Caenorhabditis elegans: one gene and its partners. The protein of the gene in region 2 purifies or fractionates together with the protein of the main gene of each other region. This does not show direct contact. Each region holds a gene or a part of one and is shown on either strand. Other genes may lie near its edges.

The links.
Region 1: the proteins of Y47G6A.21 (region 2) and etfb-1 fractionate together in Caenorhabditis elegans (co-fractionation; one large-scale study listed by BioGRID). This does not show direct contact.
Region 3: the proteins of Y47G6A.21 (region 2) and hphd-1 fractionate together in Caenorhabditis elegans (co-fractionation; one large-scale study listed by BioGRID). This does not show direct contact.
Region 4: the proteins of Y47G6A.21 (region 2) and qdpr-1 fractionate together in Caenorhabditis elegans (co-fractionation; one large-scale study listed by BioGRID). This does not show direct contact.

Annotation. Positions count from the first base shown.
Region 1 is NC_003279.8:2,415,639-2,423,557, forward strand, and holds etfb-1 (Electron transfer flavoprotein subunit beta), read right to left. Parts: upstream 4,716-7,919; 5' UTR 4,709-4,715; coding exon 4,661-4,708; intron 4,401-4,660; coding exon 3,933-4,400; intron 3,211-3,932; coding exon 2,959-3,210; 3' UTR 2,823-2,958; downstream 1-2,822. Other genes in the region: F23C8.13 (PDZ domain-containing protein), read left to right, coding at 204-311, 1,544-1,936, 2,733-2,819; did-2 (Charged multivesicular body protein 1b), read right to left, coding at 5,324-5,800, 5,861-5,967, 6,026-6,059; F23C8.7 (Tyrosine-protein kinase), read right to left, coding at 6,767-6,961, 7,012-7,157, 7,205-7,583.
Region 2 is NC_003279.8:3,554,642-3,563,380, forward strand, and holds the start of Y47G6A.21 (DeHydrogenases, Short chain), read right to left. Parts: upstream 5,167-8,739; 5' UTR 5,156-5,166; coding exon 4,991-5,155; intron 4,388-4,990; coding exon 4,295-4,387; intron 3,928-4,294; coding exon 3,748-3,927; intron 3,691-3,747; coding exon 3,584-3,690; intron 3,521-3,583; coding exon 3,457-3,520; intron 2,762-3,456; coding exon of another isoform or gene 2,592-2,761; intron 2,533-2,591; coding exon of another isoform or gene 2,400-2,532; intron 2,356-2,399; coding exon of another isoform or gene 1,974-2,355; intron 1,906-1,973; coding exon of another isoform or gene 1,716-1,905; intron 1,646-1,715; coding exon of another isoform or gene 1,294-1,645; intron 1,241-1,293; coding exon of another isoform or gene 1,144-1,240; intron 1,093-1,143; coding exon of another isoform or gene 940-1,092; intron 1-939. Other genes in the region: Y47G6A.22 (DeHydrogenases, Short chain), read right to left, coding at 5,353-5,511, 5,565-5,628, 6,606-6,712, 6,764-6,943, 7,897-8,129, 8,182-8,203.
Region 3 is NC_003280.10:12,990,070-12,998,260, forward strand, and holds hphd-1 (Hydroxyacid-oxoacid transhydrogenase, mitochondrial), read right to left. Parts: upstream 6,276-8,191; 5' UTR 6,179-6,275; intron 6,128-6,178; 5' UTR 6,124-6,127; coding exon 6,012-6,123; intron 5,937-6,011; coding exon 5,869-5,936; intron 5,820-5,868; coding exon 5,737-5,819; intron 5,683-5,736; coding exon 5,091-5,682; intron 5,040-5,090; coding exon 4,728-5,039; intron 4,678-4,727; coding exon 4,560-4,677; intron 4,511-4,559; coding exon 4,398-4,510; 3' UTR 4,293-4,397; downstream 1-4,292. Other genes in the region: cyd-1 (G1/S-specific cyclin-D), read left to right, coding at 1,922-2,058, 2,111-2,485; Y38F1A.7 (uncharacterized protein), read right to left, coding at 6,975-7,235, 7,498-7,583, 7,633-7,735; Y38F1A.8 (Serpentine Receptor, class T), read right to left, coding at 8,031-8,191. UniProt on the Caenorhabditis elegans protein: Catalyzes the cofactor-independent reversible oxidation of gamma-hydroxybutyrate (GHB) to succinic semialdehyde (SSA) coupled to reduction of 2-ketoglutarate (2-KG) to D-2-hydroxyglutarate (D-2-HG).
Region 4 is NC_003281.10:13,388,429-13,395,598, reverse strand, and holds qdpr-1 (Dihydropteridine reductase), read right to left. Parts: upstream 1,690-7,170; 5' UTR 1,681-1,689; coding exon 1,597-1,680; intron 1,539-1,596; coding exon 1,435-1,538; intron 1,378-1,434; coding exon 1,254-1,377; intron 1,202-1,253; coding exon 933-1,201; intron 879-932; coding exon 749-878; 3' UTR 620-748; downstream 1-619. Other genes in the region: dnj-17 (DnaJ homolog subfamily C member 21), read left to right, coding at 2,264-2,575, 2,620-2,913, 2,968-3,098, 3,146-3,316, 4,069-4,376, 4,433-4,674; T03F6.3 (Glucosamine-6-phosphate deaminase), read right to left, coding at 4,886-5,188, 5,573-5,767, 5,834-5,916, 5,970-6,192.

The DNA of each region.
Region 1 (7,919 bases), 1.1 Mb from region 2:
GGCGCCTCTTGTTGTGCATTTTTTCTTCTCAGAAGCCATTCCGCATTCTTCATGTAGTCGCCTAAGCTCAGCCAATTCCCAATTCAACAAGGGAATTGAAATGTCAGAAAAATACGAGAATTAAAGATGAGAGACGCTCGCGTTTTTTTTTTGTTTTCTCGCGGAAAATAAAATCGAGGAAATAAATAATAAAAAAATTCTAGATTTCAATCCCACGAGATACAGAGCAGCCAAATGGAATGGCGTTTCGAATGGTTGGGAGCCGGAGTCGAGGGATATTTGTCGATTATATTCATCCGGATTCTCCGCAGGTGTGTTTTGAGGCGTGACCTAGAAAAAGCAAAAACTCGGCCAGCGAAATTCCTTAAATTAATTTTTACTGTCCTTTGAAAGCTGGAAGCTGATAATGTTTCTTAATGGCCGAGTTTTCTTTTTTTTTTCTAGGCCATGCCGAAAATGTCCCCTTGTGATTTTGCTATTAGTGGTCCTGGCACGATCGAAACTTTTTCGCAATTTTCTAAGAAAATTTCGTTGTTTTAAACATTCTTCTTTTAATTGTAGATCAATATATTTCTCGATTTTGGAGCCAAAAAGTTGTTCCGGTCTCGACACGATCACGTGGTTCCAGGCTGTCCCATTGCTGTTTGATCTACAAAAAATGCGGAAATTTTTTGCCTAAAAAAATGTGACGTAAGCACGTGCAAAATCAGTTGAGAACTCTGCGTCTCTTCTCCCGCATTTTTTGTAGATCTACGTAGATCAAGCCGAAATGAGACACTCTGATACCACGTGTACACGACAATTATCGATTATGCACATACAATTTTTCCCCTATTGTGCGCCTCTAAAGAGTACTGTAGTTTCAAACTTTTGTGGGATTTTTATCGATTTTTTTTTATTTAAAAAACTGAATTCAATTTTTAAAATGTTTGTTAAATAAAAATGGATGCGCGCCTTTAAAGAGTACTGTAATTTCAAACTTTCGTTGCTATGAAATTTGCATCGATTTTTTCGTAGTTTTTATGTTTTGTTTTATTTCTTTTTTTAAATAAATAAATATATTTTTATCGAAAAACTACGAAAAATCTATTTAAAAAATTCCATAGCAGCGAAAGTTCGAAATTACAGTACCCTTTAAAGGCGCTCACCCGTTTATATTTAACAAAAAATTTTAAAATCGAATTCAGTAATTTTTTAATTAAAAAAATCGATTTTTAACGAAACACTATGAGAAATCAAAAAAAATCCCACAAAACTTTGAAGCTACAGTACTCTTTAAAGGCGCACAATAGGGGAAAAATTATTATACACATATGTGCATAATCGCGGCAAGACCCAAGAAAAAAGAAGAAGAAAAAGCCAATTTAGTGAGCACTTGAATGAGTAATAGGGCTCGCTCAAGTCCGATGAGCCGCGGGTACACATAATTGGATGGCCGCTACTTTTTCTTTTCTTTTTTTCTTGAGCTCAACATGCTTAGCTGCACTCATAATTCAGTTAGGGGTCACTTTTTTTTTCGAAAAAAATTCTAAAAAACTTCCAGAGCACACATCTTCGAGAAGGCGATCGTCTACTCCGGTGCAACAAGATCTCACTTCGCGCCGTTTCCGTAGATCAGGCGGCGAGCATCTTCCGATTCTGGATGTCCCGCTCCGATTCGCTGACTCTGTTGATCGAACGAAGATCCGACGGTGAGAGTGTGATGATGCGGCGTCGGCGGCAGGCGAGGCTCTCAATGTGCAATGAGCAGCGGGAGCAGACACGACACGTCGTTTCAGGGCGAGCCACGTTACGGATGACGTCATCAAGGTCGGCAGAGGTATTCCGGTGTGGGGACTCGACGTCGTTCCGCATGAAATCTCCGAAATACGAGTCATTCAACACATCATCGCCCTCAAAATCCATATGTCCCCAGTGCAATTCTCAGACTAGAATGGTAAGTTTTTCTTTTTTTTTTTCATTCCAAAAATTCCAATATTACGGGAACTTAAAAATTCTTAGAATGCGTATTTCGCAACATATTTGACGTGCAAAATATGAAAATATCTCGTAACGAAAACTACAGTAATTCTTTGAATGACTACTGTAGCACTTGTGTCGATTTACGAAAATGATTTTTTGTTTGAAAAACGAAGAAAAATTGAATATCTTTGTCACTATTCGAAATGAAATTCATTTCAATATTCGAGCCCGTAAATCGGCCTACAGTAGTCATTTAAAGAATTACTGTAGTTTTCGCTACGAGATATTTTCATATTTTGCGCGTCAAATATGCTGCGCTGTACGCATTCTCAGAATGTGTGAGTTTCCGTAATACTATAAAGTGCAATTGCGCTCCACGGACAAATCTCCACCCCAAACCGTTGGGTCTCGTTAGGAATTGGCGGGAAAACCGTTTTTGCCAATTTTCCAGCATTTTTCGCTGTTTTCAATGAGTTTTTTTTTGTCAAAATTGAAAAAGTTAATGTCATAATCATTTTTAACCATAATTTCGGCATAAAAACATAAAAAATAACGAAAAATGCTTGAAAACGGGTAAAATCGTCGGAAGTAATCGTTATTTCGACCTAAAACTTATAAAAAATATGAAAAAAAGCTTAAAAATTGGCAAGAATAATGTAAAACATTTGAATTTCCCGTCTTGCCGCCAAATATTTACCTAACGAGACCCATCGTTTAGGGGCGGGGCGCGTAATTTTTCGCGCCCAGATAATAATCCGTAATATTTCCAGATCTACCTACACCAATTCTCCCATGGTTTTGTGAACAATGCATTCCGTTTTTTGATCGTTTCCCGTTCAAGCTATTCACTTTTATGAACAAAAATAATTTTTCATACTTTTTTAAACCTGCATCACATAAAACATTGAATAGAAAAAATAATAAAAATAATTTAAATACAAAATTTTCTGATTCGACTACTACAATAATTCAGCGGCGGAAGAGGTTATCGGGGGCTTAAGCCTTGACGAATCCCTTCTCCTTGAGCTTGGCGACAAGTGCCGAGACATCGTCGACGAATCCTCCGGCCTGGCGAACTGGTGGCTCGGTGACTTCAAGAGTTTCAGTTTGTGGTGTGATATCTACATTCAGATCTTTGATTGGAATGTTCTTCAGTGGCTTCTTCTTGGCCTTCATGATGTTTGGAAGAGTCGCGTAGCGGGGCTCGTTGAGGCGAAGATCGGCGGATAGGACGAATGGCACTTTGACCTGGAAAATAGAAAATTTTTCGAATAAAACTTTAGATCCGTGAATTTTGCAAACAAAATAGCGGCGCGCAGAAATAGGGGCGGGGCGTTATTTTGCAACCTTGCGGCACGGTTTTTCCTCCTTTTTTCGCTTTTTCAATTTTTCATGTTTTAATCTCCTTTTTTTTCGAATAAGAACGTTATTTAATTAACTATCAAAATTTATTAATCGATCCTTGAATTTTGCAAGAAATTTTGTCGCCCAGAAAGTGGGGCGGGGCATAGCTTTTGCAACACTGCCGCACGGGGTTTGCCTCCGCCCCTTTTCTACTGCTTTTAAGCTTTTCTTGTTGATTTTTTCAATAATTTCTTTTTTTTTCGAATGAAAATCCAATTCGAAAAAAAAGAGAAAAATCGAAACTTTATTGAAAAAATCAACAAAAAAAGCAGTGGAAAAGGGGCGGAGACAAACCCCGTGCGGCAGTGTTGCGTAAGCTACGCTCCGCCCCACTTTCTGTGCGACAAATTTTTGCAAAATTTAAGGATCGATTAATAAATTTTGATTTTAAATTAAATAACGTTCTCATTCGAAAAAAGAGATTAAAACATGAAAAATTGAAAAAATCAAACAAAAAACAAGCGGAAAAAGGAAAAACCGTGCCGCAGGGTTGCAATATCAAGCCCCGTCTCGCGTTCTGTGCGGGGCTGCTTTTCACGGCTATCGATCGATATAGTAAGAATCACCTTAATCGTGTCAAGACCTCCATCAATTTCACGGGTGACCTTCATGTGTCCAGCGCCTGCGTCTTCAACCTTCGACGCGTAGAGAGCCTGTGGCCACTCGAGCAGGCCAGCGAGAATCGGAGCAGTTTGCGACGAATCATCATCGATTGCCTGCTTTCCGAGAAAAACCGCGTCGAACTTCTCCTGCTCGACAATCTTCTGAAGCGCCTTCGCCACGTGGAATGACTCGAGCTTGCCAGCTTCGGCGTCGGTCACCTGAACGTGAACTGCCTTGTCGGCGCCCTTCGCCAACGCGGTCCGGAGCACTTCGGCGGATTTTGGTCCGCCGAGCGAGAACGCGACGACTTCGGTGGCGAGCTTCTTCTCCTTGAGCTTGACGGCCTCCTCTAAAGCGATCTCGTCGAATGGATTCATGCTGTGTTGAACTCCTTCGGTGACGACTCCCGAGCGGTCCGGCTTGACACGGATCTGGAAATTTTGGGCTTTTATAGAATCGAAATGTGTCTAAAATCTCCAATTTATCCAAGTTTTCCGTGTCACAGCGGTTGGAAATCAGCTTTTATTGCCAATTTTAATCGATTTTCCGTTGATTGGGGTACACTTTGAGCCAAAAATGACAAAAAACTGATTTCCAACTGCTGCGACACGGAAAAGTTGGTGAAATTCAAGATTTTCGCCGAAATTAAGCTGTTTTTTCGAATTTTTTGCTCTTTTTCCTGAAATCCTACCTTGACAGCATAGTCGACAACTCTCTTGACTCCGACGAGAATCTTCATCGCTTGGCTGGAAGAAAAACTGGGAATAAATTTATTTATTTATTAATAAATGAAGAAATGATCGAAAAAAACAGCGGCGGCGGGGTCAAAGTACACACTTCAGAGTTCAGAATTTGATTTTTAAATTTGAATCAATTAATTAAAGCCGAAATTCGAAATTTTAGCCGAAAAATGTTTAAAATAGCTTTAAAACTGCCACGTTTTTCCTTAAAAACCTTCGAAAATTCCGTTTTTTATAGAAAATTCGTGAAAAATAAGAATAAAAATAATAAAACAAGTGATGAGAGAGATAAGACGATGTGGAGAGAGAGTGTGGGAAGACGAGAGACGCAGAGAATGAAACGCGGGCGGTGATTGTTGTGGCCTACACGTAAGCGACCGATTTGTAGAAAAAATGTTCTGAAAAATAAAAGAATAAATATTTCGAAGAAGACATGAGCTGAACTTCGTAGATCTAGATAGATTAGATAAAACAAAAAAAAAGCAGAAAAATTGTTGCTTCATTATTGAGAGAAATGTTGTATATACAAGAAAAAAAGCAGTATCTTAATTTTAAAAATGAAACCGTCAGCAGAATATTCATATTCACAGAAATTTCTTGAGAAATCTGGAAGATCACATGTTGCGAAGAGCAGCCAGGCGTTCTGTGAGGTCCTTGTCTTCTGAAACAGCTTGCGTCCCGGTCGGCAGAGCAGTTGGCACGTTTGACGGAAGCTCCTGGTTGAGCTCGATGCCTGCCTTGTCGGCGGCCTCTGCAATCAGAGCATCCACCTGTGACTTCGGAGCATTCAACACTGTCGTTCCGTCCATCGTCTTTTCCATCGTCTTTGTGGTCACGTCGAGATCTTCGAAATCTCTTTCGAATCTATCCATCAACTGTTGAACTTTCTCGAGATTCATGCTCTTCATGGCGCTTTCCATGGCTTTCACTACGCCGCTCATGCTGGCGGTTACTCGTTTTTGTGTGGCGGCGGTTTGAACTCGGGCGGCCACTGCGTCGATTCTGGCGGCCATTTTAATGTAGTTCACTGCTTCATTCTTCTTCCTGATCGCATTTTCAGCATGAACCTGTGCGACTTCTTTGTTTCCTTTCTGGAAAAAATCGAATTTAAAAAATAATTGTTTTTTTTTTCATTTTTAATTATTTTTTACCTTAATAGCTGCCGTCAGCTTGTCTTTCTCGACCTTTTCATCCTTCTCGCATCGTTGAGCATTCTTTTCCAACTGTTTCGCTGCGAATTTAAGATCAAATAAGTGTTCTGGAAGATAAAAACATGAAAATAAGTCAAAATCAAGAGAAATCAATTTGAAACTCACTTTCCAAGGCCATACTGCTTTCTCCGGCTCCCATGATGATTTTATGTGTATTAAGCTGGTATTTGAGTTTCTGAAATACGAGAATTACGGTGAGAAAGTGCTTTTATAAGTTAAATTTCGCAAGAAAGCGATAAAAACAAATTCATGAGTCATGTGTGTGTATCTGCGGACTTTACGTCATAAACGACGACACTTGATGTCCGCAAGCAGCGGATCTTACGACAATTTTGGGTTGTAGAAATTTCTGTATTTTAAGTCGGTTTCAGGCTATAAAACACAAAATTATCAACGTCAAAAATATTTCCAGATCCGCTATATGAATTTGAAAAAATTAACATCGTAATTTCACCGATAGATAAAATCGCACAAAAATAAACTACCATAAACTTTTTTGCGTGCCAAGACCAATCTGAATAAATCTGTGCGCCTTTCTTTGAAAATTACTGTAATTATCGACTTTTCGTAGTTTTTTTGTAAAAAAAATTGAATTTATTCATCAATAAACTAACAAAAAACAGTATATGTTTTAACAAATCAAAAGAAATAAAAAAATTGAAGAAAATACCGCAATTTTTAAATTACAGTACTCTTTAAAGGCGCACACCTTCACGCATTTAACAAACAATTGTCGTTTCGAGACCAGGTACCGTATTCTTCTCTCGAATTCTCAGGGTAATAAAACAATTTTATTAACATCTCAAGTCAAAACTATCAAAACTTTATTTCCGAACAAATCAAAGATCACTTCGGCTTCTTCTTGTTGTTTCTCTTCACCGAGAACATTGGCGGCTTCATCGTCTTCATCTCCTCCTCGGTCGAGCGATTGCTCGATAGAATCGATAGAACCACTGGCTTCATCCCAAAAGTTGTCTGAAGATAGCGCAGAACATCCGCCATGCTCACACGATCCGCCGGATTTTCAGCCCAGCAGTGCTTCTGAAAAATGAGAAATTAGTAATTAGCTATAATTTCAGATTCAAACCAACCGTGACATAGTCGCCGAATCTGAAGTCCACAAAGACCGGATCAAACCGCATGCGGTATCCATTACGGACCTTTCCGACGACGTCAGCAACTCTCATGTCTGGGTACGGCTCCTTCCCATTCTCAGTGATCTCCCAAGCCATTATTCCTGAAAAAATGTCTATTTTATTTGAAAATGTTATTGGAAAGACTAACCGAACGCAAACACATCAGTCTTCGGACTATAAATCCCCGCTTTCAACGTCTCCGGAGCCAACCAACGAATCGGAACCTTCTTCGTCAGGTCCATGACATACGAGATTCCCTCACGGGATAACCCAAAATCCGCAATCTTGACCTGACCACCTCCATACAGGCAATTTCTCGCCGCAATGTCTCGATGTAGAAGTTTCTTCTCGTGCATATACGAGATTCCACACGCTGCTTGGTAGATCATCTCCATCTTCTTGTCGGGCACCAAATTCGGATTCTTCTGAAGGTACGAGTCCAGGGCTCCACAATCCGCCAACTCCATGATGACGTACAGCGGCTCCTGGCTTGCACCAACTCCGTAGAATTTAACGACATTTGGATGCTGCAAAAAAATTAAATTTTTGGGCGAAATCGAAATTTAAAAGGAGTTTTCGAGTTTTTCAGAAAAAATAACTCAAAATTTCTTCTATTTTTCAATTTTTCACAAGATTTCAGTGAGAAATCATTGCGTTTTCATGTAACCTGGGTCCCACCACGACTGTAAAATTTTTCTCAGTTACCGTACTCGCGAGTACGCACGCTTCTGGCTTCCCTTGAAATGGAAGAGTTTTTGCCGAACTAGGCCATTTTGGCTCGACCATATCTGGGGTAGATTTACGGCGCGTTGCGTGTCGCGTCGCGGCTCGGTTTTAGTTGTAAAACTAAATGTATTTGTCCG
Region 2 (8,739 bases):
TAGAAAACACCTATTTTGGCAAGAAAATGTATAGAAACAACCAAGTAAGTGATTTCTACAATATCTCATAAATATTTGAAAAATTTTTTTTTTCAATTTTTCAGATTTAACATCCACTTTTGGGCAAAACCGCTCGTTGCTGACGCGCTTTTATGCTTGCACACTAACGGTCGAAATCCCTGACCTAATTAGGTGTCGTCCTCTTCTATTTAGATCTACCCTCTTCTATTTAGGTCTAAATAGATCTGCCATTTTTACGCTGTTCTAATTAGATCAAACCCTGATCTATTTAGAACTAGTTCTTCTATTTAGCTCTAATTAGTTTTCCGATTCTACTAAATAGGTCTATTCCTTCTAAATAGAAGCTAACACGTTTATCTGAGATTAGGAAACTCGCAGCATTGGCATTGTGGAGGCACGATGCACACATCCCTAAGAAAGTTTCCCCTAAATGCCAGGTATATTTTCCAATAGAAATATATAAAATATATATGTGTAGTTTGTGTGAACATCTTCAAACTAATTTTCTGGATCACATGTCTCGTTGTTGTATTTTATACGTTTAGTATTGTGGCACCATATTACTGAAAGCTGAAAGAGACTAGATTGGCAATTATTATATATCAACTACATCATTCATACATATATAACATATAAGTGAAGATATATATATCAACCTGTTTTGGCAATGAGGCTGTCTGAAAGTAACAGGTTCGCGAAGAGAAACTGTTTTTGCACGCCGTCCGCGTTCTGACCGCGCCCCATCCGCGCCCATTCCGCACTCCTTCCGCACCCCTTCCGCGCCCCGTCCGCGCAACACGAACGACAATCCGTTATTACGCTTGCAGTTTATAATTTTTTGGCACATTTTCGATAATTTTTATTTAATTGTTTCCAACATTGTAAAAATATTATTTTCTTTTTGTTTTGTACAGTAACATGCCTAAAGTGTATAGTTTCAGGGCTTTTCTTCAAGTTAAATATGGTGACCGTGAAATTTTCACCGATTGTTCCATCAATAACAAAAGTATCTCTAAAATCAAGCTTTTCGGAATTGTACGAGTATCGTGGACTTATCGATTAAGGAAGAAGGTAAATAAATTGCCAAAAACATGTAAATCAAATAATTCAATCAATTTTCAGATGAAAATTGGATTGTGTTGGAAATCCGCCAGGCGAATGTCATTTGTGTCGTCTACTCGGTTACAGACGAGTCCACTGTTGATGGAATTCAAACAAAGTACGTTTTCATTGAAATTATCTGTTAAAAAATCAATAACTTTGAATTTTCAGGTGGCTACCCTTGATTCGCCAGTCCTTCGGAGAGTACCATAAGACTCCGGTCATTTTGGTAGGCAACAAATCAGATGGGACTGCAAATAATACTGATAAGATTCTCCCCATAATGGAGGCAAACACCGAAGTCGAAACTTGCGTTGAATGCTCGGCTCGCACGATGAAAAACGTCTCAGAAATCTTCTACTACGCCCAGAAAGCTGTGATCTACCCAACAAGGCCATTATACGATGCAGACACCAAACAACTGACAGATCGCGCCAGAAAAGCACTGATTCGAGTCTTCAAAATTTGCGATCGAGACAACGATGGATGTCTTTCTCCGAGTGAACTTCAGAATCTCTTCTCAGTATGCCCGGTTCCAGTTATTACCAAAGATGTCGGTTAAAATATAAAAAATAAAATACATTTTATTTCAGCTTTTGATTGCTTATCCCTCGTTTTTCCGTTATTGTCCGTCCAATTTTGACTGATTTCCGATCACTTCGGCACGTAAAAGTCCGCGAAATTGGAGATTTTCACTAAATTTTATATAAAGGAGGAGAAGCGGACCTAAAACTGCACGAATTTGCACGAAAAAATGACAATTCAATAAAAATATAATTCCAGGCAGGTGGAAATTTTGAAAAAAAAGATCTTCATTAAAAATTCATTTTATTCAGTTTTTGTAATTTCAGGTCGTGCTGGGAATACACTCGACTCGATCAGAGTGACTCGTGAACGGAAGAAGGATCTAGAAAACCATGGAACCGACCGAAAAGTCTTCCAATGCCTGGTAGTCGGAGCCAAGGACGCTGGAAAAACAGTCTTCATGCAATCCCTAGCAGGACGTGGAATGGCTGATGTAGCACAAATAGGACGTCGTCATTCTCCATTCGTTATCAATCGTGTCCGAGTGAAAGAGGAGAGCAAGTACCTGCTTCTGCGTGAAGTTGATGTTCTCTCACCACAAGATGCGCTGGGGTCCGGCGAGACGTCGGCGGCCGTCGTCGCTTTCCTCTATGATGTCTCGAATTCATTCGCGTTCTGCGCCACAGTTTATCAGAAATATTTCTATAGGTGGGTTTTCAAGATCCAATTCCCAATAATTTCAATATTTACAGAACAAAAACGCCGTGTGTCATGATTGCCACAAAAGTTGAACGGGAAGAAGTTGACCAGCGTTGGGAAGTGCCGCCGGAGGAATTCTGTAGACAATTTGAGCTCCCGAAACCAATCAAGTTCTCGACGGGCAATGTAGGCTAGCTTATAAGCTTATAAGCTTCAACTGCGGTTTCACCGTCTTAATATTTCAGATTGGTCAATCCTCTTCACCGATCTTCGAGCAGCTCGCCATGATGGCAGTTTATCCACATCTCCGTCGTGTTTTCTACCTCAACGACTCGAATCTTCTCTCCAAAATCACATTCGGCGCTGCCATAGTAGCTCTAGCTGGTTTGCAACACCAGTCTCTCGCCGTCTAGGATTCAATTGACCTGCAGCCAAGCTGTCTTCAATCCGTTAATTTTTTAATTTTATTTTTCCATTGTTCGTTGTTGTAATAAACGCAATTCTTATTAATCTAAGATTTCAATTTTAATATGAAAATCGGCGGGAGCGAGAAAAAAATCGAACCGGGCGCGTAGTGTGTGCGAAAGAAATGCGCTCGGCGCGCGAAAATTGTGCGACTAGATCGCGAGACAGTAGTCTAGTCGCGCCCCGTCCGCGCGCCAGTCGCACCCTCGTCGCGCGCCAAGGGAGCCAAACTACCGAGTACAGTAGTCATTCAAAGAACTACTGTAGTTTTCGCTACGAGATAATTTGCGCGTCAAATATGATGTGCAGTACGCATTCTCAGCATTTCGTGTTCCCGTAATGTCGCTGTGTAGAATTTGACCCACAGAAAAGGGCGCGCAAGGAATAATGGGCGGAGTTGAAAATGCAACTCCGCCGCACTGTTTTTCGTCTATTTTTCCGCATTTTTAAAAATCAAACAATCAATTTATCTTAATTTGTCAGGTTGAATAATCGAAATCTTGCTTTAGAATTACTTTAATTATTTGATCTTGCTGTGAATATTTTAAAAAAACAGTTAAAATTTTAATTAAAATAGAATCGTGCGGCGGAGTTGCGCTTCCGACTCCGCCCATTACTTCTTGCGTGTCGTTAGAATAGACTTACTGCCGCATATGTAGCTTCATCCTGCCCAGATGCTCGATGAATGTTGGTTACAATGACTCCTGGGCTGAAATTTATTTTAATTATTCTCAATTTTTGGGCTCTTAATATGAAAATATTTAAATCTCACCAAACAGCATTAACACGAACTCCATTCGGAGCCATTTCCAGAGCCAAACATTTTGTGAATTGATCTACGGCCGATTTGGACATACAGTAATATGTGACCCCAGCGAACTGAAAATTGCGAATTCGAAATATATTTTTTTTTAATTTCCAAAAGAAAAATCATACAGGGCACGGTCCATTAATACTGCTGACATTGACAACAGTTCCTTTTGTTGTAATAATATGTGGAAGAGCTGCACGTGTCAGGCGGATCAAACTACGAACATTCACATTCATTAGCTCATCGTAGACTTCAATTCCAGAATCGAGAACTGGTCCGGCACGCAGAATCCCGGCCGAATTGATCTGAAATTTAGAATATTTTAAGGGTAGAATGGGAAATTTCTCGAAAAAAAAACTATGGATCCTGGAAAAGTGAAGTTTTTTATTTTTCAAGTTTAAATTTTGAATAGTATTGACTTCATAAAATTGAAAAAAAACCTATTGTAGTTCCGCAATTGTTCCTGGGATACGAACTTAAAGGCGCACGCAATTATCTAGTTGGGTCTCACCGCGCAAAAACATTTTTCGTGGCAAGACCCAACCGAATAAATCCGTGATCCTCTATGTACGCGTTTCTGAAAATTTTGTAAATAATAAATGGATAAACTCTAAATTTCCGAAAAACTTTTCTCTCGATAGTTTCAAATTGTTTCGAACTGAATATCCTCACCAATGAGTCAATTCTTCCGAATTTTTGTACAGTTGCATCCACAATTGCTTTGGGCGCCTCATCAGAGCTCAGCTCCACTGCAGTTATCAGAATCTGGAATGAAAATCGATTTTTTAATTGATGTCGCTATTTTTTCCACCTAAAAACGTTCAATCCCCTTTTTTTGCAAAATTTTGCGATTTTTGGTCTCGAAACGACATAATAAAATTCATAGCTACAGTACCTGCAAGTGTTTGTAATTTTTAATGATTTTTAGTATACTTCTTGATATTCGATGAGTTTTAATATTTTTTTTTGTATGTGTCAAGACCATGGCGGCGGTTTTTTTTAATTAAAAAAATAATTTTTTTTGTTTTTTCGACAAAAAAACGGTGTTTCCAAAAATTACAAACGAGGAAAAAAAATCGAAATTTTTTTGTGATAACTGCTATCATGAGAACACAAAATTCTGAGAATGCGTAATGCACAACATAATTGACGCGCAAAATATCAAAACTACAGTAATTCTTTAAATGACTACTGTAGCGCTTGTGTTGATTTACGACACCAGAGTTACAGTAGTAATTTGAAGGATTACTGTAGTTTTCGCTACGAGATATTTTGCGCGTCAAATATGTTGCGCAATACGCAATCTCAGAATTCTGTGTTCCCGTAATACTGTACTTTCCGTCACAGTTCCTAAAATATAAAACTCACATCATCAGCCGAAATTGCACCCTCTGAAATACATAGTGCTGCGACTTCCTTCAAAGAATCCGTATTTCTTCCGGTCAGCGAGAGTTGGTACTTTTTTTTCGCGAACAGAAGAGCCGTGCCTTTTCCGATTCCCGAACTTGCTCCGGTGATGATGGCGACTGGCATTTTCGGATACTCTGAATAAATTCAAAACTGAATCAAAAAAAAATCGATTTTTTTTCAAAAAAAAAAAAAATTAAGCAAGGAAAAAACCACTATAAAGGATTCAATAAAAACACAATTAAAAAAAATACATGTATCTCTCTATTTATTACATGATAAAAGTTCAAAACAATCTCAATATGAGACAAAAAAGCTAATATTTATCTCGGATGCATGATTCCGCGGCCTCCGTCAACACGAAGAAGTTCTCCAGTAGTGAATGAACTTTTCTCAGAGGCGAGGAAATAGATTGCCTCAGCAACTTCATTGGCATCACCGGGACGGCCGAGTGCGTGTGTCGTTTTACTACGTTCCAAGAACTGAAAGAAATGATGATATTTATTTGTCAAGGTCAGTGCAGCAGGTTTTATACCGCAGAATATGTTGTCTCGTCTTGACCAGATGTACGATGCAGGTTGGTCACGGTGACCCCTGGGCTGAAATTTTTGGAGAAATGACAAATTTATATGGGTTTATTAAGGGAACACAATATTTTGAGAATGCGTATTGCGCATCATATGTGACGCGCAAAATATCAAAACTACAGTAATTCTTTAAATGACTACTGTTGCACTTGTGCCGATTTACGGGTTTTTTTATTTATCAAAAGATTATTGAAAATGAGAAAATAATACGAAGAAACGAAGAAAATAAATTAATTTCCAAAATCGAGCCCGTAAATCGACACAAGCAGTACAGTAGTCAGTTAAAGGATTACTGTAGTTTTGATATTTTGCGCGTCAAATATGTTGCGTAAGACGAATTCCCAAAATTTTGTGTTCCCGTAATACGTGTGTTGTTAGCGTTTCATTCGACAAAAAATGAGAAAGTTAGCGATTTTTGCACCAAAATACGGTAACCGGTCTCGAAGCGATCTTTTTTTTTTCAATTCAAAAGTGCGTGCGCCTTTAAAGGAGTACTGTAGTGTACTGTAGTTACTTACTCCTAGTTTTTGCGAGATTTTTAAAGCAATTTTCCATAGTTTAGCTCCTGTCTTTTAAAAAATTCGTTTTTATTCAAAAAATATAAAAATGCATCAAAATTTGAACAAAAACAAGAAAACCTATGAAAATTCGGCAAAAAGTTAGAATTTTCAGGAAATTTTCCTAGTTTTTTTTTGTGATTTCGTTCTTACTCATATTTTCCGATAATTTTTCGATTTTTCGAAAAAAAAAAAGCCAAAAATATTTTCGATTTCAAAAATAAATATTTTTCCGATTTTTCGCAAAATATCTTGAAATTTTGACAATTTTTCTTCTTTTTGGAAGAAATGTATATGTTTTCTTATTTTTCGAATATTTCTTTAAAAAACCTAAAAACCGAAAAAATCGTAATTACAGTACTCCTTAAAGAGAATCGATCGCTTCGAGACCTGGCACCGTAGTTTTTTGGCAAAAATCGCGAGAAAACTCACCAAACAGCATTAACACGAACTCCATTCGGAGCCATTTCGAGAGCCAAACATTTTGTGAATTGATCTACGGCCGACTTGGACATACAGTAATAGGTTACATTTGGGAACTGAAAATTGCGAATTTGAAAATTATTTTCAACAAAAAAATAACATCATACAGGGCACGGTCCATTAATACTGCTGACATTGACAACAGTTCCTTTTGTTGTAATAATATGTGGAAGAGCTGCACGTGTCAGGCGGATCAAACTACGAACATTCACATTCATTAGCTCATCGTAGACTTCAATTCCAGAATCGAGAACTGGTCCGGCACGCAGAATCCCGGCCGAATTGATCTGAAATTTAGAATATTTTAAGGGTTTAATAATTCAAGAATCGGTTGGAGAGTTTTTTTAAATGTTTTCGTTATCCCCATATTTTCTTTTTACAGGTTGGTGCAATTTTTCTCGAAAATAAAAATGAGAAAACTCTTTAGGCAGAAATTTGGAAAATTCGAAAAAAAAAGTATCTAAAAAAGCGCGCAAACTTTTTTCTCAAAAAATTTTAAAAAATAAAAATTCTAAGATCTCTGAATCTTAATGTGAAATGCGACAAAAATAATTTTAATTTTAAAAAAAATAATTAAATTTGGGTGCAAAACTGAGCTACAGTACTCGCATATACTACAGAATTTTTTCAAATTTTCCTTCGATTTTTATATATAAATTTTAATTTTTCAAACAGTTTTTTATCGAAAAGTATAAAATTCGATGAAAATTCCGCAGAAACAAAAGAAAATACAGTACTCTTTAAAGGCGCGCACCTTTTTACAAGTTGCAAAAATTAGTCGTGGTGAGACCAGATACCGTATTTGTAACGCAATAGTAGTCGCAAAACTTCACATTTGGATAATTTTCTGTGCATTTTTTTACAAAATTCGCAATTATTACGTTTTCAAAAAGAATTTTGAACTAAAATTTTTTATAACGGGAACACAAAATCCTGAAAATGCGTAATGCAACACATTTGACGCGCATAATATCTCGTAGCGAAGACTACCGTAATTCTTTAAATGACTACTGTAGCGATTGTGTCGATTTACGGGCTTTATTATCTTGATTATGAGAATCAAGCCCGTAAATCGACACAAGAGCTACAGTAGTCATTAAAAGAATTACTGTAGTTTTCGCTGCGAGATATTTTGCGCGTCAAATATGTTGTGCAGTACGAATTCTCAGAATTTTATTTATTTTTATGTTCCCGTAATAGTTCTAAATTTTATTATAACTTTCCAAAAATAACCCCCCACCAATGTGTCAATTCGTCCAAACTTTTGCACAGTCGCATCCACAATAGTCTTCGGAGCTTCTTCTGAAGCCAACTCAACAGCGGTCACCAGTACATCATTCTTATCACTTCCAGCACTGACAATTTGCCCGGCGAGCTCATTGAGAGCCGCCACATTCCGTCCGGTAAGTGAGAGCTTGTAGTTGTTCCGGGCGAGAAGAAGAGCCGCCGCACGTCCAATACCAGAACTTGCACCTGGAAAAGAGGGGAGAGGAATGGAATTTCAAGTATTTAGAGTCATTATTACCTGTGACAATTGCGACGGGCATGGTTGACCTGCAAAATCAAAATTAAAATTAAAATTGAAAATTGAAAATTGAAAAAAAAATCTTTGAAACAAATAATAAACGGCATCCTAAAAAAACGAGACCCAGAGAAAAATACAAATTTTGTTTTCTCCGCTCCTGATAACACATCACACATCAGGAGTTCAACTTTTCCAAATTTTTTTGCGCGTAAACTGTGGTGCATTAGGTACATGACTCAATGCATCACATTTGACGCGCAAACTTTTTTATTTCAAAATCCATGTCAAACTGTGGGTTACTGTAGTTGATATTTGAAAAAATTGCTATTTTTGTGCCAAAGCTACGGTGCCTGGTCTCGTCGCGATAAATGTATGTTAAATGTAAAAAGATGTGCGCCTTCAAAGAGTACTGTGTCAATGAAAATTCCAAAACGAGAAATTACAGTGCTCTTTAAAGGAGCACACCTTTTCGTATTTAACAAATATTTGTCGTGTCGAGATATGGAGAAAAAAATCGTAAAATTTTGATGCAGAAAAATGCGATTTTTGAAATCGAGG
Region 3 (8,191 bases), on a different chromosome or scaffold from region 2:
TGACCTAGGTTTTAGCGCCTTTGTTAAGGCTTCCCACCCCCCAACTACAGATATAAGATACCAAAAAGTAAGTGAGTCAGTACCAGGTACACAAAATTTTGTGCGTCCTCTTTGTTCTCAAGCCGTCCTCCTCTGTGGTGACACACTGAGACGCTAAAAAATGACTGTGTGTGTGCGCGTGTGTGTGTGTGGGGTAGTACAATTTTGCAATTACTCTTAAGAACATCTGGGTGAATATCTGAATTAGAAGAATATGGCTGTAAATAGTGACATGACAGCCCAGGTGGCCCGGGTTCAATTATAGATAGCTATCTCCCGGGCGGCATGGCTTGGGGGGTGAAATTAGTGGGCTCTTAGGGAAACCGTTTAACTGTTGCGGATCACTTGACACCCGAAACAATTAGAAGGCGACTCCCCTTAAACACATGTCGCTTTAATCCCGGCGGTTGAAGTGACTTCAAAGAATAGGCTCTACAGTAGGCAATACCTTTTTCAAAATGCCCTTGTACCTATTGCCCAATGTTTATTTGAACAAAACTTCCGATCGGCATCGCCTTTGGCAACTTGATAGCGTGATGGAATGCTCTGATCGATCATCTCGCAGTGTTTGCCCCCCCCCCCCCCCCCCCCATATCCTTCTGCCTTAATGGATGTTCAGTTATCCAAACGGATTAGGAAAGTTGTGTCCACCTGGCGCGTGCCTACCCGTTGATTTATACATTTGGAAGATTTGGGCTAGATTATGAAAGAATACCGTGTGTGTGTGTTTGTAGGTATGTATGTATGGGGGTGAAAAGGAGTGAAATCTGCGCTTCTTGATTTACGATGACGAGCCCCCGTGATGTTGTGCCTGTTGTTGCGCGGCCCTCACACACAAAGAAAAGTTATGTCGCAATCTGCTCTTCCAAGACACCACCGATGACAAGGGATGTATATCATCTACATTAATGTTATGACAGTATGGGAAGGGTCATCTCTCTGGGGCAACTGATGACATTTGAATTTGAAATTTGAATGGAGATCATCGTATAATAATGAATGTTTCATCAGCCAAGGCCTAATTGATTGACAGTGCCCCCGTAGTGGAATTTGAAAAGGAGCAGCTGAAGAAGGAGTCATCAATCGTTGGACATCCGTTTGACCGATATATAAATTCATTCGCGGTCGATTACTTTTTTATTGGGATTACGGAAGCGTGTGCCATCCTCATTGAGGAGGATGAGATGCTTCCCAGATTTTCAAATATCTTTACATCATCACCATCATCATCATCGTCTACCAGCTGTCATTTCGGGCGGTCTATTCAATTATGCAACATGACCGCGCGATCCTACACATACTGTCAACAGGTGCTCGAGGCTTAAAAGGAGCATAGCCTAATTGCGCATGTTTGAATGGGCTTCTGGTGATTTTTTTGACGCAAGGCATTGTGAAGAACGTGTGATGTCACAAGCGGTTTGGAGAGTCGGTTTTGAAAAAGGAGTGTGAAATTACATGAAAATAGCACGACGACCTTCCTCTACAGTAGGCAAAGTTTATGTTAGCACAAGATAAGCGTTTTACCTCTCTCTCTCTCTCGGCAGCCAGCCCGTTTCAATTTCAAAATTTTTGGCGCGTCAGACCCCTGGAAGATATGTATGAAGGTGTGAAAACGCGCACTTTGAGGCAGAGAGAGTTCCACTGATGTTTCAGACGCCCAGACACTTAGAGACTTGTTCGTAGATAATCATCTATGTCCTCCACAGCCACCCTCTTCGATTTTTCTTAATGATTGAAATCGAAACCTTGAGGCGCGAGCGAGCGAATGATTGGCAGAGGGAACAGTGATGAATGGGCCAAGGGGGGAGAAAAGATTGAACTTAAATTTTGGAATTTTGGAATTTTAATGATAAAATCAATAATATGAATATTGGTTTTTCAGTGCACAAACTTGCCACCTTATTCCCATCCATGCAATGTGCAATTGGCCTCTACTACGTATCGAATCTCCCAACACAGAATAAGGAGCTGGCAGTAAAGATCAAGGATCTCTTGGCAAACATGTTCCAGTTGGAAGTGGTTAGTGAAAAAAAAATCAGCACTTATAATTTCTTATCTAAACCTTTTCCAGAACCTTCTCGACTCGTACATCCCGATGGTGCAGCGTTGCATGAGCACAACGCCAATCTACACATCAGAAGATGCTGAGAAGACGGAACCGACACCATCCGCGCCGGCCTCCACTCAAGAGCCAGAGGCCTTCCAAGAGCTCAAGGAGCTCAAGGAAGAACCCCTCCCAACTCCACCACCAGAGGAACCTGCCTTCCAGAAGCTTGTGCTCCTCGAGCCGATCCCCCTCTCCGAGCAAACTCCATCAACTCCCCTCAACGACTCGGGCTTCTCGTCTGATGTCTCCAGCCCCGCATCCTCAGAGAAGAAGCGTCGTCGGAGCACAGACTGGTTTGAGGAGGACTCGACGCCGCCGAAGATCTTCAAGACTTTATGAACATTTGTTACCCATTATTTTATGCATTGTTTAGCTTCTATGTCGATTCGAAACCAAATCCCAAAAAATCTCAAAACACATCCAGTCTTCCATTTTCTATGTAGCTTTTGCATTATTTCCTAAACTTTAATTTTTAAACCGGTGTTCCCAACAAATCTTCCAGTTTATTATTCTTATTATTCTGAAAAAAATAATATATATATATATTAAAACATTTATTCTAAGTTATTTCCACCTCCCTCCCCCTCTCCGAGAGTTCGGATGTGCTCGAACCTTTTGTTGGATTTTCCTATGAAATTCCAACTGCTTCCTGGTTCTTGTCACATCCACGACTTCGTTTGTGATTAGTCAAATCCTGCCCAAGCCTCCTCCCAAAAATTAATCATTTCTATACTAGAATTCCCACTTGCTTCTTTCATCTTTTTTCCAGATCCCTCTTGCTCAATTCGCTTCCTACACCCAATTCTGATGACCATTGAAATTACTTGTATTGTACAAAAATTCTCGCTGTTTCGATGATTACTTTTTTCTATTTGTGAAATAATAAAGATTCCCCACAACCACCAAACATATATTTCACTATTTACCCGGAATCACCATATGACGTTGTTTGACCCTTCGAGGTTGTGACGTCACACAGACCCCCACTTCTAGAGTTGCGTCAAACTGCAAGCTCGTGAAGCGAGCACTTATTCAAATCTTGACCATAAGCGCAACATACATTATTAGCATCTGTTGATGACGTTGAGCTTGCGCTAGTAGAAGATCAGAGATATGTGAAGCAGGTGGACGGGCCCCTTTTTTTATAAAACAGTGCAAAAAAATTTGTTTCTTGTGACGAAATTGAATTTTTTCCAGCAAATCGGCAATTTCTGTAATAATAGACAAAAAGCAAAGTTATCTAAAATCTCCAAATTGTGCTTGAAAATCGGAAAACCGCTTAGTTTTCATCTGGAACTTGTCTAGAACTGGAGAAACACGTGGCGTCAGTGTGTCCCATGTCGGTTTGATCTACGTAATTGCGGGAATTTAGACGTAGACTTCTGAACTGGATTTGCATGGCTAAGAGCGTGATGACGTCACATTTTTCTGGGTTAAAAATTCCCGCATTTTTGTAGATCAAAACGTGATGGGACAGCCTGGAGAAAGTTTTTCTTACAAGCCAGAACACCTACAATTAAAAATTGCCAATCTGTTATAGATTTTCAAATTTTTCAAAAGTTGTAAAAAATTTATTGGAAAAAAACCTTCTTATCAATTTTTCAAATATTTTAAAAGCCATAAAAATATTTTTTTAAATTTTTAGCAAAGTCTCAAAATCTAAGTTTTGTTTTCAAAAATATAGAAATTTTAAAATTATTTGTTAAGTTTAATGTTAGAAAAGTTCGTGATGACATTAATGATAATGAGATATGAAAATTGACCATTTTGCCAACGAATTCCTAAAAAAATTCAACCTTAAAATATGCCAAATTTCCAAAAGAACCCAGTGTATCGCCGTACCTGGTCTCCAAAATCCTGCTATTCTCGACAATTCTCTCAAAACATACATAGATCCTTGATAACAGCCAAGGCCAAAAAGCTTTCAGCAACAAAATTCAAATATGCCGGCACGCCGCGCTTCAAAGGACATTCCTACGATTGTTTGCGTGTCGCGTAGTAATGTTTCTTCGTTCTTCCCCGCCTCTAGTCATCCCTAATTAGTACAGTAAGCCGGCAATATTTAAACGGTTCCTTGAAGAAAAACGGGGGGGGGGGGTGAAGGATTCTAATTATTCTGGTGACACCTGGCGCCATTGTTTTGTTTCTGTTTCTGTTTCTTTATTTATTCTAAATACATTTACATTGAACATAAGAAACAATAACGTATATGGTACAACCAATAATAAAATAAGTACAATAAGAAAAATGACTAATAAACCGTAAGGGACTTCTCGTACAGAGTGCTGATAATTTCACGATCCGCAGACTTTGGAGAGATTGCAATATTTGGGACGGAGTGGCTGGCTGCTTCAGTAAGCATTTCTGAAAATAGTATAATATAAGGCAGTTCAACTAGAGAGAGGTGTTCTACCAATATCAGAAAATTCGAATCCCATTCCTTTCAGTCCATTTGGAACTCCAAAGTCTCGCATATAACCTCTCAGCCGATCACAAAGAGTTCGGGAAATGTACTCATTGCTGGCATTGTTCTGGAAATATCTAGTTAGTTCAGAACCATCTTGGTGGCCAATTTACATACCGGAATATCTGCACCAAGAGTCTGTGCAGAAATCAAATGTCTATCTGGGCACGCGGCAGTTGTAAACTCGAAATCAGCCACTGCGGTTGTCATTACAGAGAGTCCATGTGGAATCAAGTTCTTCTCCTTTGGATAATCATCAGCCACACAGCTTTTCGCCTGGGAGCTGATTGGGTAGGAGAGTCCGTGGCAAAGATGAACCCCAGCGTTTCCGAATCCAATCCCAGCAAATGAACTAGCCTTGAGCATTTCTGTACGAGCTTCTTCGTCGGTTGGATCGAAGATAGAACGGCGGAAGTATTTTCCAATGATCTGAAATTATATAAATTCATTTAGAGCTTCATGGTTGAAATTCCAACTCACTCTCAAAGCCTCTTTACTCCAGACATCACTGATCGGGTTGGAACCTTGATAAAGTGGACGAACTCCTGGATTCTCAGGGCGTGGAGATCTTTGATCGAATGGCAAAGCTGTGAAGCTTTCCAACGCGTGACAGAGAACATCGAAACCAGAATAGATTGCCACGTTTCGAGGCATACTCATCACATTCAACGGATCCACAACTGCCAAGTACGGCTTGATGCAACGAAGTCTGATTCCAGTCTTGCACTTGTGCTCTGGAAGATCCATGATTGCAGCCGCGGTAGTCTCGGATCCAGTTCCAGCAGTTGTTGGCACAGCGATCAATGGGAGCATTGGGTTCTTTGGTTGCATGGATTTTCCGAATGGTGGTCCAACAAAGTCGAGGAAGTCCGCTTCTGGATTAGAAGCATATAGAGCTGCAGCCTTCGTCGTGTCGATCACAGATCCTCCACCAACAGCGATGAAACTATCGAATTGCTTCGATTTGGCAAATGCGATTGCTTTCTGCATACTGTTGACGGTTGGCTCAATGAGCACATCATCAAACACCTCATACTCGATATTCACCATTTTTAAGGCTTGCTCGGCGTTTCTAAAATTTGTCTGTTGAATAATTTTAGAGCTTTAAAGCTTTCCTATAACTCACTTAAAAGCGATCGTATTCTGCACATTCTTATCAGTGATAAGCAACGTTTTCTTTGCTCCGAGATTACGGACGTCGTATCCAATCTGATAAAGTTCACAGTTGAGTTAGTGATGTGTGATATTGCTAGCAAACCTCCAACGTGACTCCTTTTCCGAAACGAAGAGTTGAGCACACCATCTCGAACGCGTAATCTGTTGACTCTGAAAATATTGGTTTTTTAGAAAGTTTTCAGGCAGGCACGCCTACCTGCGTGCCTGCTCGGGTAAAAAACTAACTGTTATTTCCATGAAGCTTTGCAAGTTTGAATGGATTTGTAGCTGGGGCATGGTGAGGACAGCATGAGCCGCCCATCTTGCTCAGTATTCCACGTGCCAGACTTGCACTCATTTTGCTGAAAAAAAGAAAAGTATAAAACAATTGCCACGTGCCAACAAAAACTCACAAATAAAATGTCGTAAACGCAATGAAATCGAGAAATAAATTGATTCGTAAGGTTTTTATTTAAAGAATTTAATTTTTAAATTCAATAAATAAATCGCGCCAACAATAATTATTATCACGTTTATGTACAAACACGTGGAGAAATAGAGAAGAAAACAAGTGGAATGGAGGAGAGAGGAGAGACGCAGACGGGCAAACAGCAGTGATCAGTTTTCGAACATTAATGTGAGGGGAAGATGGTTTGATCTGAATAGACTCGTGGGCACAAAAGTTGAAATTTTGGCTTGCAAGCTAATTTCAGCTTTTGAAATCTTGTTTTTTTTTTCAGAAACCAGCAAGATGTCGGCTGCTAGAGGCGCTCCAAAAATTAAGATTTACAGGTTTCTAAATTAGTATTTGAACCCGGAAAGTGTCGGCTGCAAGACTATTCTTTCAGTTGTCTTGGACGGGCCGACGTCTCACGGGTTGCTGAAGCTATGAACCACATGAGCTCAGTTGCTGGTAGAAGCTTGTAGTTGTAATCTTGTACGAGATTCGAACTCGGAGATTAGTAAGAGTTGGAAAATGACAAATTTTAGATCATGAAGAAAAACAGAAAATCGCTAAATTTGTCAAAACGTCTCTGAAATTGGCAGTCTCCCCCGCCCTAGATTTTTCAGGATTCCAACTTTTCTCATGGTTATGGCTGTTTTCAGCCTCCAAAGTCATTTATTACACATCCATAGTTTACAACAGAAAAACACTAGAATAAACAAAAAATAAAATAAAAACTAGACATCGAGTTCACTTCTGAGCTTTCACGGATTCGCATTGTAGAAGACATTCTTGTTCGGCTGCTCCGCTTTTCCAGGTGGCGCCATTGCAATGTAGTGAACCATCGGAGCAAGTTGCTCCGGCTCCATCAAAATCTCAACTGGTTTTGGAGCAGAATCACCTGCCTTTTTCGGATCCTTTGGCAGAGCAAATGCAGATGAACCATTGGGGTTTTTGTCGAATTTCTCCCGCAGCTCGTTGAGGGCATACTCGGTTTTTGCCTTGTAGTGGAATCGAATGAAGAGCTGGAAAAGAGAGAATTAGATAGATTTTTGGTAAAATTTTTTTGTGTGCATGAGAAACGCTAGCCTATGTGCCTACAGTACGTGCCTGCAATTGTTTAAAAAAGGAACAAGAACTTTTGGATATGAAAAACGTAGAAAAACGATAAATTGTAGTTCAAAATATCTCAAAAACAAAAATTCCTGCTCAGGCGTCGAAGGCGTAGGCAAGTAGGCAGGCATTTTCATATTCCACAACACAATAATCTTGTAGCCAGAAACTCACATGAACAGCTAGAAAAATGACAATCATGACCAGGATAATAGCCATAAAAACGTCAACTGTCTCCTGAACTTGACCAGTCACAACACCTACAATTTTCAGAACTGTTAGAGTATGAGATATTGTGGACAAGCTCACTCAATCCATCACTGTACGGGCCATTTTGAGGATCTGAAAATCCAAGGTTTAAGATGTTGAAGTCCAGGAGTTTTGGCTCCAAGTCGAGCAGTAGTGGCTCCATAATTTGTAACTTTTTTCAAAACTCACAATAGCTATTTCTGACGAAAGTGAGGTTAGACATCCTCCTCGAATTGTGAAAACTTTGGAAATACATTTTATTTCCATTTATTTGGATATATCCACGTCAGATTATTTTTGTTGTTCCAACTCATTCTCTTCTCAAAATATAAAATATTTTTTAATACAAATTACACGTTTTTATTCACTGATTGTAAAATTGTAAACTATATGTACAAACACTGGATTGGGGAACCCGTTGAAATCGAGGTTTAAAATCTACAGAAAAAATAAAAAGTTTAGACGAAATCCTTCCGAGGTAATGCTGGAGCCATTTTCGTCACTGACTTGTCAAGCTCGTTGAGATTGCGCTGCACACTTTTGATTCCGATTGTGATGCGAGTTTTGGGGAATTCAAAGTAGGCGATTGAATAGAACAAGGAATTACAGCCAACTTCAA
Region 4 (7,170 bases), on a different chromosome or scaffold from region 2:
GAAAAAAGTGTGAAGATTTATTCTCTGCAAACAGATAGAGGAGAATTGGAAGAGAGAAAATGATATGGGAGTGACTAATAAACTGCGGGTTTCTCTGTTTTCTTGTCATATCAATATGGTGAGAATTGACGAATTAAACTAAAGATTTGGGACAAGAATTATGTAATAATACGCTGAAAAAGAAAACGAAAAAAAAAAACAATTTTTCGGTAATTTAAAGGAGCATGAACAATATGTTGTAGATTTTTAATTAAAATCGTTTCAGGACCCATCGCAAAAGTGGTGTGCCCCTTCCAAGGTATATTTTCCATTCTCTGAATTCATAATATTTTGGTAAAGTTATTTTCAACGTAATTTGTATAAAATCTTTTGCGAGTTTCTAGCAAATTTTTACTTTTGCCCCGAAAATACGGTACTCGGTCTCAACACGACAAACTTTGATTAACTTCGAAAAGGGATGCGCCTTTAGGGAGTACTGTAATTTTGTAACATTTTGTTGCCGTAGAATTTTCTATAAATTTAAAGAAAATAGGGAACTAAAAAAAAACCATAAGAAATTGTCGCGTCGAGACCGGTACCGTATTTTCAGCAGAAAAATTGCAATATTTCGCATCTAGATAATAAAACATTTTTACTTAAAAACATCACAAGCTTTATGGACAAATGATTTAGAAATTGATAGCATACTACATGGAAAAATAACAGATAATAAGCGGAATGTAAAAAAGGCTGAAAAATGTCGGTAAAATTATTGTGGAGTGATAGTCGATGTTCCATTTTCAGTGGTTATTTTGAGGAGAGCCCCGGAAGATGGACGGCTCGATGTTTCTGTGGTCCATTTGAGAAGATGTTCAGAGATGAATGAGAGTGGAGTCCAGCTGAAAAAAAAACATAGAAAACTATGCAAAAGAAAAAGAGTAATTTAATTTTACCTTGAATGATCAGCATTTGGCATCCATTTTCTGTTCATTGGGGTGTCCAAAGTGACTGGCATAATTGTCAAAACGGCCGAATTGTCAGGCAATCCCGAATCTTTGGCAGCCAATGAAGATGTCAGATGATGAACTGCAGCTTTTGCCATACCATATCCAATCATTGATGGAGTTGGTCCCATAGCAGCAGCAGCTCCTGTAAGCTGAAGAAGACCTCCCGGCTTGAGGTGAGTGGTGGCCAATTTGGCTGCAATTGCTGAACTCCAGACCTGAAAATTCACGGTAGAATAATACCAGATGTTTAGGATTAATATATGTTACCGATTGTTTGATCATTAAATCAGCATTTTTCACAAAATCTTTTGAAGAAGCGGAGCCTCCAGCCCATCCACCGGCAACACAGAAAACTCCATCAACCTGACTTCCCTGGAGAGATGAAGCAGTTCTGCAAATATTTTATGAGGTTACGGTAGCTTTTTTTTAAATTAAAAATACAACTTACTGCTCGAGAATGGATTGTTCTTGTTCTGTCCAATTTTTATTTCCGTCCACCAAAATATTACTGTCAGCTTGGTCATTGGCACTCAAGTCGATGTTTAGAACAGTCTGAAAATTAATGAAAATTAATTTACAACATCCTAATTCAATTTCTTTTAAAACTTACATAACCATTTTTCTTGAAGAATTCAAGAATAGCAGATCCAAGTGCGCCTTTGCCTCCGTATACGATAACTTTTCCACTGGACATTGTTCGAAACTGCAAGGAAAAAGTAAAGAATGACAATATGGAGGTTGAAGGACAAATTGGCCGCGTGGACGACGTCAAGGACGATTTTAATGTGATACTGGTATCAACGAGTGATCAGAGACACAGATTTTTAATGTTAAATGAGGGAAAACTTGATGGAATTCAGGAAAATAAAGATGAAACAACATTTTGGAAATCGGTTTCCGAGCTTGAACTCGAAACGAACTTTTGTTATCGAGAGTTTTATCAGTTATATTTTTGCAAGAAATTTGGCAGACATATCAATCGATAGCTCTTATTTAGCTCAACAACATTTAATATGAATCACAACAGGAAAATGTGAATTAGCTTCTCAGAATTCGTCAAAACATCGTGGGAAAAAATATAGGAAATTATTTTTTTACAATTGCGCTCTAATGTAGATGGCGAGACATCGTGTGGAAAGGAGAGACGATAGATAACTTTTTCTTTTCATTTAATTCTTTTTCTTGTTTCTATTATTATTTAAATGGTTTCGCATGAACTATTCATTTCAATTTATAAAATAAAATCATATTTAGAGTAAATTTTAAATATTTCAGCTATGAAATGCCATTACGAAGTGCTCGAAGTTGAACGCGACGCTGATGACGATAAAATCAAAAAGAACTACAGAAAACTAGCGCTCAAATGGCATCCCGACAAAAATCCGGATCGCATCGAAGAGTGTACTCAGCAATTTAGGCTTCTTCAAGCTGCGTACGACGTTTTGAGTGATCCACGAGAACGCGAATTTTACGATAGACATAGAGAAAGTATTCTGAAGGGAAAAAATACGGATTTCGAGGAACAATCCACGGATTTGTTCCCCTATTTCACCGCTTCTTGCTATCAAGGATATGAAAACGATAAAAATGTGAGAATGAAATCTAAAAAGTAAATCAAAATTATAAATTACAGGGCTTCTTCACTGTCTACCGGAAAGTCTTCAATATCCTAGTTTCTGAGGAATATGATGCGTACAACGATTCAACAATAGTCTATCCAGAGTTTGGCGACAAGGATACCGATTTGGAGCAAACTGTGAATGGTTTCTACGGTTTTTGGAGCTCTTTTTCGACAACTCGCTCTTTTGCCTGGCTGGATCATTATGATATCACACAGGCTTCAAATCGATTCGAATCACGGCAAATCGATCAGGAAAATAAGAAGTTTAGGGATGTCGGAAAGCAGGAAAGGAACGAGCAAATTAGGGTATGATTGTCCGGAATATTTAATTTTAAATTTAAATTTAACAAAATTTTTCAGAATCTGGTCGCTTTTGTTCGAAAACGTGATCCACGTGTCAAAGCATATAGGGAAATTTTGGAGCAAAAAAAATTGGAAGCACATAAGAAACAAGCTGATAATCGAAAAAAGCAGATCGCCAAAAATCAAGAGTAAGTTCCGAAATTGTGAAAAATAAGGAAAAAATTGAATTTTTCAGGCTAGCCAACTCATATCTGAACGACAAAGAAGCCGAGGCAGCCCGTCTTGCTCATTTGATTGAAGTTAGTCTACAAATGGCCGAGGATTACGATACTTGTAGTGATGAATGTGATGAAGAAGGAGAAGAACTTCCATATTGTGTTGTTTGTAGCAAATCGTTCAAAACTGTGTAAGCAGAATATTATAAAGACGCAGAAAAATGCCATTTTTGAAATGGAGATGCAAGTACGCTTCACGGAAAAATTAAATCGCTCCGCCTCCAAAGTTGGGTCTTGTTAGGCATTGGCTGCAAAACCTTAATTTCAAACGATTTTTGTTTAAAAAAAAGCTTAAAAAATGCACAATAATCGAAACATTGAGAATTGAAAAACGAAAATTATAGATTTATCGGAACTCCTTTAAAAAATTTTTTTTTGATCTTTTAAAATCGAAAAATCTAAATAAAACGTTTAAAAAATGAAAAAAAAGAAGAAAAATTGAAAAATTTGAGGTCATTTTTCTAAAAATCAAATTTTTTGAAATATTGAAAAAATTTTTAAAAAAACATCGAGAATTTTTTTTTCGAATTGGAATGAACCAAAACTAAAAAAAAATCGATATGTAATTTTCCGATATAAAAAAAAAGAAAAAAGACTAATTTTTCTTATCAAAATATACAAAACTTTATAAAAAAGTTGAAATTGTGTGTCAATTTTCTGAAAAATAATTTTTTTGATTTTTTGATTATTTTAGAAAAAAATGAAAATCCTTGAAGAAAAGTGAGAGACAAAAAATACGAAAAAATATTGAAAACGTTTAAAATTATGGATTTACCGCCACTACCTAACGAGACCCAACTTTTGTCCGTGGAGCGCGCTTGCACCTCAATTTCAAAAGTCTGATTATATTCATCTCTATAATATTCTTCAAACTTAATTTCAGAAACGCCAAGTTGAATCATGAGAACTCGAAGCAACACATCCGTCAGCTGAATGAGCTGAAAAAGCATATGAAAGAAGAAGATTCCACGATTTTCACCGAAGCAGAACCGAAACCCGACGAAACACCGAAAGGAAAGAAGAATAAGAGAAAGGATAGGAAAAAGGGGAATGGAATATTTGATGTGGAAGAAACAGAAGCAGTAGAAGCCGAGATTCAGGAAGCGCCGCCCGTGGAAAATGAGCAGCCGGAGGAAGAGGAAAAGGAATGTACCCCGGAAGTTGTTAAGAAAGAGAAAAAGAAGAGAAGAGGTACATTTTGTAGAATTGCAAAATCTTTAAAACAAAAACAAAAATTTTGTTTTCAGCTGATAAAAATCAAAACCCATCGGCGACAGTAGAGGAAGAAGCACCGAAGTCAACTGAACCAAAATCTGCAATTTGTGATAAATGCCGTGAGGTATTCGATAGCCGGACCAGGTTATTTGCTCATTTACAAGAAACCGGACACGCCACGTTGCTCATCAACAAACCAGGAGAAAAAGGACAGAAGAAGGCGAAAAATAAGAAGGGACAACGTGGAAATAAGGGGGATGATGAGGATTGGTGAAACATTTTTTTTTTGGTATTTATTCTTGTTCTAATTGTTTTGTTTGTGAAAGTTTAATAAATATTTTTCAAAATTCAATTTTATTGAAATGTTTCGGGAAGAATAATGGGCAAATAATGAGTACCAAAATGTTCAATATTTAGTATTCAAAGTTACAGTGAAAGTTACAGTGAAAATTAGTGGAAGGGTACATGAAAAAAAGTAATACAGATTAAAACATGACAAGTGAACGATGATGATTCATTAATCCTTTGAAATATTTGACCGTCTTCACTTTCAACTCCAACGTGGCATCTTCGTCGGCAATAAACGTTGCACATCGATGCATCTGCATCGCAGAGACCGTACACATGTGAGAGATTCCGCATTCGATTGCCTGATGAAGAGCCAGCGCTTTGTGTGATCCTGTGATGAGAATCATCACTTCACGAGCATCCATTACAGTCTGGACGCCGACTGTCAGAGCTTGTGTTGGCACTTTTGTGATGTCTCCACCGAAGAAACGAGCGTTAGCCTGGAATTATTATTTTACTCCTGATTCCAAATATCTATGTGCACACGCGGTTCTGGCTCATTTTGACTCGGCCAAGGCCGGGGTTTAGTTGCAACGCTAAATGTATTTGTCCGTGTGGAGTACACGACTTTCCAGCAGGCAATTGTCAATGTAGCGCGAAAAATTCAATTATTTTAAGACGACTTTCAAACGCGCGTCAGAAACATTCTCATTGGAGCGCGCTGTGACATGTCAATTTACGAGATGATTGACGTTTTCCAACAAATTTCGTTCAATTTCGTCGGATTATTGTTGTCAATGGAACATTTTTTCCGACAAAACTGAAGAAAAATCGTAAATCGACACAACACGGCGCGCTCCATTGAGAATTTTTCTGGCGCGCACCTGAATTGTATCCTCGTTGAGGGTCTTGATACGTGTACGGCTTGCCAGCGAACTTCCGGGCTCATTGAACGCAATATGGCCATCTGGACCAATTCCACCGACAAATAAATCGATTCCGCCAGATTCTTTGATTTTACGCTCGTACTCTTCACACTCCTTCTCGTGATCAGACGTATTTCCGTCGAGAATGTGAATCTGAAATTATTGACTTTGGAACCACATTTGGCGAAAAAAAAAAAACAACAAAATCAAAAAAATTACATTAGCTGGATTAATGTCAATGTGTCGGAAAAAGTTGTCAAACATGAAGGAGTGATACGATTCTGTATGGTCACGTGGAAGATCTGGAAATATTTATTAATTTCAACTAATTAAAGAAATATCAAATTTTTCTCACCGACATACTCGTCCATATTAAAAGTTTTCACTTTTTCAAAGGAGATAACTCCGGCATTGTAGAATTCGATGAGTTTCTTGTACATTCCGAGTGGAGTTGAGCCGGTTGGCAGTCCTAAGACGAGATATTTTCCATTTTCAGTCGCTTCATTGATCTTTGTAACGACATATCGAGCAGCGAATTCGGCGACTTTATCGGCGTTCTCCTCGATAATCAATTTCATTCTGGGCTGAAATCAAATTAGAAAATTAGGAAAAAAAAAGAAATTTCTAGAAATCAGAAAACTTTGAATAATTTCAATAAAAATGAAGAAATTTGACCGTCTGGTTTACTGTAAGTTTTAAAGGCGCACACAGAAAAATAATTCTTGCGTCTTGGAGGGAAAACACTTGTTCATTAATTATTTTTTTCAAAATAATATTTTTTTTTTAATTTCAAAGAATTCCAAAAGAGCGCCATGTAGGAAAAATGGTAAAGTTAAAATAGTGAAATCGAATCAAATTTAAATACTGAAAATGACAGCCTCGTTCTTGATAAATATGTTTCGAAATTTCGAAAGTGAGACAAAACTGACAATTTTCGCGGCATTTAACCTATTTTTGGCGCCGGAAAAACTGCTGAACCGGAACTGTAGAAAAGTCAAAATGTTCACTTTGACATCAACTTTCGAAATTCTATTCATTGCAAATCGAAAAAAATTCTTAAACTCCAGAAATCGTTCCAAAAATCGTAATAAACGAAAACTGGCCAGAATGTGCAGTTTTAAAGAGCAGTCAATGCTTATCTTATCGAACAATTTGTTGATAATTGACCGAATTTTCGCAAACAACAATATCTTATCGAAAGTGGGGGAAACATGAGACCTAATAAAATGTTTATATTTATGTATTTCAATGAATCTGAGTGAGGAATCAAAATCAAACTATTACCCGGATGCGAAGTTTGCAAAATTGAACACGAAAGTACGGTTCCCGGTCTCGACACGACAAAATTTTGCTCACTATAATAAGGTGCGCGCCGTTAAAGAGTACTGTAATTTCAAACTCCCTGTTATCTTATTTTGTAGAATTTCTGGGTCTTTATGCAACTTTTTGATAACATTTATGGGTTCAAAGACTGAGAGCCTGGAAGCTCAAAAAAAACCAATTTACCTTTAACATTTTTAATGTGTTTTATTTGTTCTGAAATTTAACATTATTTT